Linked DNA regions of Oryzias latipes. The protein of the gene in region 2 purifies or fractionates together with the protein of the main gene of each other region. This does not show direct contact. Links are inferred from orthologs where the notes say so. Each region holds a gene or a part of one and is shown on either strand. Other genes may lie near its edges. The genes, in order: map3k3 and traf7.

What was found.
Region 1: the proteins of traf7 (region 2) and map3k3 purify together in Homo sapiens (affinity purification with mass spectrometry; 5 studies listed by BioGRID and IntAct, with this or other methods). This does not show direct contact. The link is inferred for Oryzias latipes from reciprocal best matches to the Homo sapiens genes TRAF7 and MAP3K3.

Annotation. Positions count from the first base shown.
Region 1 is NC_019866.2:4,128,370-4,132,189, forward strand, and holds part of map3k3 (mitogen-activated protein kinase kinase kinase 3), read right to left. Parts: intron 3,647-3,820; coding exon 3,606-3,646; intron 3,238-3,605; coding exon 3,138-3,237; intron 1,983-3,137; coding exon 1,869-1,982; intron 1,709-1,868; coding exon 1,588-1,708; intron 929-1,587; coding exon 795-928; intron 1-794. UniProt on the Homo sapiens protein: Component of a protein kinase signal transduction cascade. Mediates activation of the NF-kappa-B, AP1 and DDIT3 transcriptional regulators.
Region 2 is NC_019866.2:23,005,210-23,009,129, reverse strand, and holds the start of traf7 (E3 ubiquitin-protein ligase TRAF7), read right to left. Parts: upstream 2,950-3,920; 5' UTR 2,839-2,949; intron 1-2,838. UniProt on the Homo sapiens protein: E3 ubiquitin and SUMO-protein ligase that plays a role in different biological processes such as innate immunity, inflammation or apoptosis. Potentiates MAP3K3-mediated activation of JUN/AP1 and DDIT3 transcriptional regulators.

The DNA.
Region 1 (3,820 bases), about 19 Mb from region 2:
CCGCGGCCATCGAAATTTGGACACAGCCAAACAAAAATCGAAGTTTCGTTGACCTTTGACCTCGAGCCGTCTTGAATTTAGAAAAAAAAAAGTCACTTTCAATACCACCTACAAATGTAAACTCCTCCTAAGGCTTTCATTCTATCACCTCCTAACCATCATCATTGGGAAAATACTTGGGGGGGGGGGGTTGTAATTAGAAGCTGTAGATTTTGAACAGTGTTCAGATGGCGAGCTCGCAAAAGTGCCGCTCCCCTGTTGCTCGCACACTTTTTCTAACCAGAATATTGTGAAAATTTTAATCGTGACTCGCTGGCTCCAGCTCAATGAAACGATATAGCATACAATATGACTATATGGGGAATGTGGTCATGGTTGATAAATATATCTCTGTTGTCAAAGAAATTCCAACGTTTACTTTGGCAGAAATGACATAGACCCGTTTGTCATCCCCAGGCAGCCAAAAAACTAAAATGGTTGCTATGAAGATGAAACCAACAGAAAAGCCGCCATTTTTTGCAAAAATGTGTTGTTTATTCCCCATTTGTCACATGCAAATCTGACTAGGGGGAAAGAGGGGGGAGAGTGAGGGGCCTGAAACAGACACTCAGCCAGTCAGCGAGGGTACGAAAAAAAAACAACACATTTTTTTCCCATGAACAAACTTTCACAATAAAAGCAAAAACTATTTTACAGTCGTCTCTCGATTGTCATTGTGGGAGTTGCATTCTAAAAACTACCCTCAATGGCTGAAATTTCCACTGTACTCCATTTCAAGGGACAGTGGGACTTACACACTGGTCACTGGTCTCGGGTATGAACTCCCCCTCGCTGTTTATGCTGGTGTATGAACCTTGGCGGGCGATCCTCTGCTGGCGTTCAGGCACATATCCAGGAGGTGGAGAACTTCGCCCAGTGTTCTGAGACCCTGAAGGATCACAGACGGTACTATGAGTATCACTCAAAACACATATGAGACCAATAAAAAAAGATTTGAATCAATTACTTAGTCTTTATTCTGAAAACCTTTTAGGGGATTTAAATAGGAATTATTATTTATTTCATTAAAACAGCTTGAATAAAATGGTTTGTCTGATTAACTTCATTTAATTATTTGAATGTTTTTTCTTAAAACTCAAATCATTTAAAGGGTTGTAATAATCAAAATAGATTCCATCTTTACTTTTCCGTTGGTAGGTGACACTTGAAAGTGGGAATTTCATTGACTGTGATATTCTTCATTTTTTTAAAGGACCGACAAGAGTTAAATGCTTTGGAAAGCCTTTGTTTGAAAAGAATCAAGTCTCAGAATATAGAGAAAATGAAGTTTGGAGTTTTTTTTAAACAGCACTTCTGGTTTTAAAGAATCAAACACTAAAAACTATTTGCTACGATTTAGTGTAACAGTGAAGAAAAAAAGGAAGAAAATCTGATGCAATAAAGGAAAGAAAGAGTGCAACCAGAATTTATTTGCATCACAGACAATAAAAATGATAAAATGAACATAAAAACAACTACAACTTTGATTAATTCAACCAACATTAGTCCCTTTGAATTGATGGTAAACAGGTATTCAAGAGAATGTACCGGTTGATAAGTGGCGCCCCCTAGGTTCAGAGGATTGGTACAACGTGCTGACATCTCCAGTGGACTGGGAGGACTTGATCCTCACCTGCTTGCAAGGTGCATGATGGGAGGGAGAGGTGGCCTGTGGAGGACGCAGGGATAAAACCAGCTTCCATGTGTGACTCAACAGTATCACGATGATGGGAATTAGAGGCGTGGTGTTTTTACACAATGCGGCTTTGTGCTGAAGAAACGGTGTTGGTGCAACGGCGTGTTGCAACCGTACGGCCAGTCTGTCTTACATGTCTGTGCTCCTGAGTGAGCAGCAGGATCCTGATGCTTTTCATGTTGGAACTTCGGTCCAGCAAGTCGACGGCCTTGTCCAAGTCGTCCTGACCTCTTAAAGGAATGGACATCTGCAAAGAAACAACCCAAGGAGGCAAACTCATAAAACAAACAAGCATCTGTACACAAAATTCATAAAACGAGGCAGAAAATTGTGTTTTTATGGCATTTTCCTGATGATGGACACATATAAAAAGAATTAACCTCAAATTTGTATTTCTGAGTATTTCTTTATTCTAATTGGTGTGAAAAAGGAGCAGATGATTAAAAAAAAAACGCCAATTGAAAACGTAAAAAACACAGCAGGTGGGCCACAAGCTCCGTCGTTTTCCTCATCTGAGCTGCCAACTGGCTCAAAACTGGATCGCTACAATAATGCTCGACACTTTTGTTGCACCGGTAATGTTAGAGTGGAGGTGTGAAGGGCTGTAAGCCAGCAAGAGCGCGTGTAAACAGAGAGCTCTCAGCAACAGGGAGGGGAATGGGGGTGGGGTTGCTCCGGACCCCTTCCTTTTTAATAAATCACTAGTCGTTCACTAGTTCACTGATCCTTACTCATTAAAAAACTCTGGGAACGCTGTTAAAATTGATCAGAATTTAGATGCTAGGAACCCTTTTAGCGAGAAAAATCTTTTATTCACATGTAAAAACTTTAAGAATTTAACAAAGCACAAACAATTGAATAAAAACGAAGGTTTAAAACATGCACAAAAAACAACCAATTGGTTCAACCTTTAGATGTACTTGTCTTTAAAGATAATTTGCAAATAAATGATACTTTGAAACCTATTTTTTAGAAGGGGAAATTCATTTTTTAAAGAAATGACTGTGTTTTTTAGCAGCACAAATAAGTTTTCTAATGAAGACAACAAATTGATATATTTGACACCAAAACACTCTGATAAACAATGAGATCAAATTAGATAAAATATGGAATACATAAATGAGGAGCGGTTGCTTACATTAACCCAGTTTCAAATAAAAGAAGCTTCCATGAGTCTAGTTTTTGCATCATCTCAACTCCTTTGCCCCGGTATTTTTTTCATCTTCTTATTTTATGTCCTTTTTCTCTTTATTTGTCCCTTTAAGCATCCACGTTTTTGGATTAACTGGTTTTCTAAAAGACAGCCTCATTTGCAAACACGACAAATTTACAGGAACGTGGAGCGCTTGGAGAAGTGAAAGACAATCCAAAGTGCCGGAGAACATGCTGAAAAGCACTTTACCTCATTGTTCACATAATACAGGTCCAGCAGCTGACCAAACACGCTCTTGACTTTTTGCTGAATTTCCTCAAACTGCACAGGCCTTTCAAACATCAGGATCCTGCATGAAAAGAGCAGAATTCCCACAGATTATGGCAGATTTGTACCAGCTGCTGAGGAAACGCCATTTGAATTACATGCACACGTGCAAGCAAAACACACATGCTGCACTTTTCGGTGGGTTCAGATTCTTTCAAGTACACCTTAAATATTTGTGGTGTGCGCTGGCAGCCGCATGCTAACCACAGTCCTTTCCCTCTTCCTTCTGCAGCTCGCATACCGATCTGGTTTCACTGCAGGAGTGTGCGCTCGCTCTCATGAGCTGGAACGTGTGACCAGAACGGCATGCCTGTGTGTTTACATCTCTCAGGAGTGCATGGACTGCATTTGGATGCATCATCCGTGTAAACAAAACTCAAATAAACTCACCTCCTCTCCCCTGAGAACTCAAACTTTATCCTCACATCATCCTGAGGGAGAGAAATCAGAGGATGAGGACATTCCTGTACAATATATCGCTTTTACTAAAGATGCTTCTCACAAAAGACCATTTAGGAGATCCCAGTTCCACTCAAAACAACTGGGGTGACTGAGTTTATGTGAAGAGTGGAGAAAACGATCCGTTTCAGGGGAAATGGGGTTTA
Region 2 (3,920 bases):
AAAATGAAAGAGTCTGAATAACTTAAAAGAAATGACGACTGATGAATCAGCTGTAATGATCAAAGAAAAACAATAAACATCACATTGTTCTGCTTCTGCTCCCAATAAAGAAAACAATTAAATATCAAAGATATGAACAAAGACAATTGTTTAAAGATCAACTCTGATGAACATGGGGTTTTTGATCTGATAAAAGCTTTAATTGTTTTGTTTTTTTTAAAACAGTGCACTTTATAATCTAGAGCAGTGTTTTTCAACTTTTTTTGAGCCACGGCACACTTTAACCTTGACAAAAATCCCGCGGCACAACAGCATCCAAAAAAAAAGGAAAAAAGAAAAACTGGGAAAAGCTCATAGTCTGGATTAATCTACAGTCCCTCCATAATCTCACATGCATTTTTGTGATAATTATGGCAGAAAAAGCTGGAAGCTGCAGCTGTTTTTTTTAAAGATGTAATAAAAGTTGAGTTAAAAGATTTAAAAACTGTTTGATGTGTCTTTGTTGTAGTTTTAAGACGTTAAGAGGAGAGACTCATTGTGCGCTAAGACACTGTCACTTTAACCCAATGCATCATGGGAGATGTAGTGCAAAAATATCGACCGACCGCAGACAGACAAGCGTCTCTGAGCTTCATTGTTTTGTTCACTTTTACCACGGTCTGACACCGGATTCTGTGGAAAGCTACACCGCTAAAGACGAGCTTTAGCTGGTATTTTTGTTAGAACTGAGAGACTTATGAGCTAAATCGAAACAAAGAAGTGAAGACTTTAACCACTTCTGATTGGTCAGACTGATGATTTGTGATTAAGACTCCAAGAATGATTGGTGGAGACAGTTAAAGGGGCGGGACTTTTCCAAAAACAGAGCTGAAGCTGCGGCTAAATCGCGGTACCGTCAATCTTATCAAAATGTCTTTAATACAATCAAATAAACACAAAGAAAAAAATGTTTTACGATCTTTCATATTCCTAATTTCTCAGTGTTTTATCAGGGCCTGTTTGGATGAACACAGAGCTGATATCCTGGAGATGGAAAATGTTTTTAGATCAGTTAATGAGAGTAATTTCCCACGGCACACTTGACCGTCTCCCACGACACACTAGTGTGCCGCGGCACACTGGTTGAAAAACACTGGTCTAGAGCACCTTATGTGTGGATTAATTCTGGTTGTGTTTACTGATGGAGAAGTGGCTCTGAGAAGAACATACCGCTCTGTCAACATGTTTGGATGGTGTTGGGATTACGCTAACGTGGCTAACGCTAACAACTTCTAGAGTTACTGTGAACGCACTTAATAAAGTCTGACTGACTGACTGATACACTTATCTCTTAATCTTTTGTCTCCTCTAATGCCTCTTTTAGTTCAGTGCGCCTCATGTTCTTGAAATTGTTGGCTTTTACCAAAACCTTTGTCAAAACTTCTTTACATAATCCAGCAAAAAAACAGTATACAGGGATCCCTCGCTATAACGCGGTTTACTTTTCACGGTTTTGCTACTTCATGGATTTGCATCGTGCATTGTGTTCCGCATTCTGATTGGCTAAAAAGTCCCTCCACGACTTCTCTACCTGTGCGTCAATAACGTTGCAGTTTAATATGTACACGTACGTAAAACAGCGTGCCAAACGCCGGATTTTGCCTATCACGGGTTCTTTTTGGAACGTAACCCCCGCGAAAAAGAAGGCTTTACTGTATAGGAAAAATTAATGAGAATCTTAAAAAAAATAAGCATCAAACTGCGTTTCGTAGTATTTATTAATTAAAATGATTGTCAGGAGCAGAAGGAAAAAATGCAGTTTGATTGTATTTGTGCTCCGCTCCATTCCGATGCATCCACTTGTTTTCCTCGTCTAAGCAGGAATCTGGCACAAAACTGGACTGTAGGGCTAGGCGACATGGCAGTAGATTTAAATCTCGTCTACAGCGAGAAACAGGCAGGCTGACCTTACTCCGAACAATGGAAACCCAAGGAAGCAGAGCGCTGGGAGAATACAATCTAGACTTCCCAAACATGAATCTTTTTAAACAAAAAAAACCTACTTTAACAATAAAAATGGATCTAATGCACTACTGATGTTAGGTTGGGGGGTGTGCTGGGCTGTAAGCTAGCGGGGAAGCATGTGAACGGAGAGCTCTCAGCAACGGGGAAGGGAAGGGGGGCAGGGTTGCTTTGCAAAATGGTCTGGCCCACAACTCAGAGGTGAATTTCTAATGAACTCCAACCGCTCTGCTGAAACTATGTCCAACAAAACGACACAGGCATTGACGTTTTAGTCTAACAACGGCATATTCGTAAATTAAACACTGCTGGGAACCCTTTGAAAATAGATCAAAAGAAGGTCAGAGTGGGAATTTTAATGTTTTATTCAAATGAACCGCATTTTTGGGAAGTTAGTCCCACAAACTGGAGGTGCAGGAGGTGCCCTCTGCCCCGCACAGCGCCTCCGTGTGCCGCCGCAACAAGCCCGCAAAGGAGAAGAAGCTCGAGCCAGCAGAAAGGGGGCGGAACGCAGCCAAAGTTCGCTGCTTTCCGGTGAATATGTCCGAATAAATGTTAAAACTTAACACATAAAACTACTCACCCGCGCGGAAAAAAGGAAATGAGACCACCTCGCTGGGTTATGTTTATATGATTGTCGTCTTTTCAAACATTATTCTCAACAATCTAAAGAATTTGCTAGCTTAAGTTAGCTAATTTCCCTGTCTTAATTAGCATCACTCCTTCTAGCAGCCTTCAGCGAACGCTGCTAAGTACAACCGGATAATTTGGACTGTTTTCTAACTGGATCAACAAGTTTTTTAAAACGGTCGACGGGGAAAAGGGTCAAAAACTTACATTTTGTTTCGCCTGCATTACTCCATGTCTGTGGATGAATTCTTCCTCTTTTCCTCTCGTTACCAACCATTGAGGAAGCAGTGTATTCTGGGATGTGTAGTACGTACAAGGTGATGTCACTGCTCTTATGTTTAGTTATGGACTACACTCCCCAAAGTCCACTTGTGAAAGGTAAATTCCAAAGTAAAAACTGCACAGAATAGTATTGCCAAATACTTTTATTACGTTGTTGTTAGCTCTTGCTGAAGGCGAGCTGACAGATCAGAAGAACTAGAATTTGTCAGAAGAACTCAACAAGTTTTACTTCGAAAGCTCAGCACTTGTAATGTTACGTGTTTTTAGTTTAATTTTTTTAGAGGGGTGGTTCTTGCTGAGGCTAATGCTGGAACTAACCAACGTCGCGGAGGAGCTGGAAGATCAAGTGTTGCCACTATGTTATTACAAAATTAACTTTTTTTGGGTCCCATTTTTATTTTTGCAATTAACCAAAAATGTTATTTAGGAAAACTTGAATGAAAAAGTTCGGGCGAGTTTGAAGGGAAAAAGGCTAGTTAGGAAAAAGTGGGACACAGAACAGACAGGGACACGCAGCACAAGGTGTGACCATATAAAGACTCCCTTTGACCTCCCCAGTTTAATTTGCTTTGAAATGTTAAAAAAAAAAAACTGTAGATGAAAGTGTATCTTACTCATCTACAGGAGGAGCAGAGGAGTCCTATTTTCTCATGTATTGCATACTTACAATGTCTTTTCATGAATGTACCAAATCCCACCATTGTCCTAACATGACATAAAGGTAACTGGAACAAACTCAGAACAAAGCCAGTGTTATCTAATGATAATATGATGATATCTGATGAAACAGGAGACCCTGGTCTAAGCTCACCCTGCTTGATACAGATAAAGTCAGACGGTAGTACATATTTATTTACAAACTTTAGAAAAGTAAATGAGTGAGAGTGAGCGTTTTCAGTTATGGATAATGGGAAGGGGAGCAGGGATGTTCTGCACCAACAGTCCCGCCCCCAATCAGAGGAGAATCTCTAATGAACAAAGCAAGTCTTAAGCATTCCTTACATGAT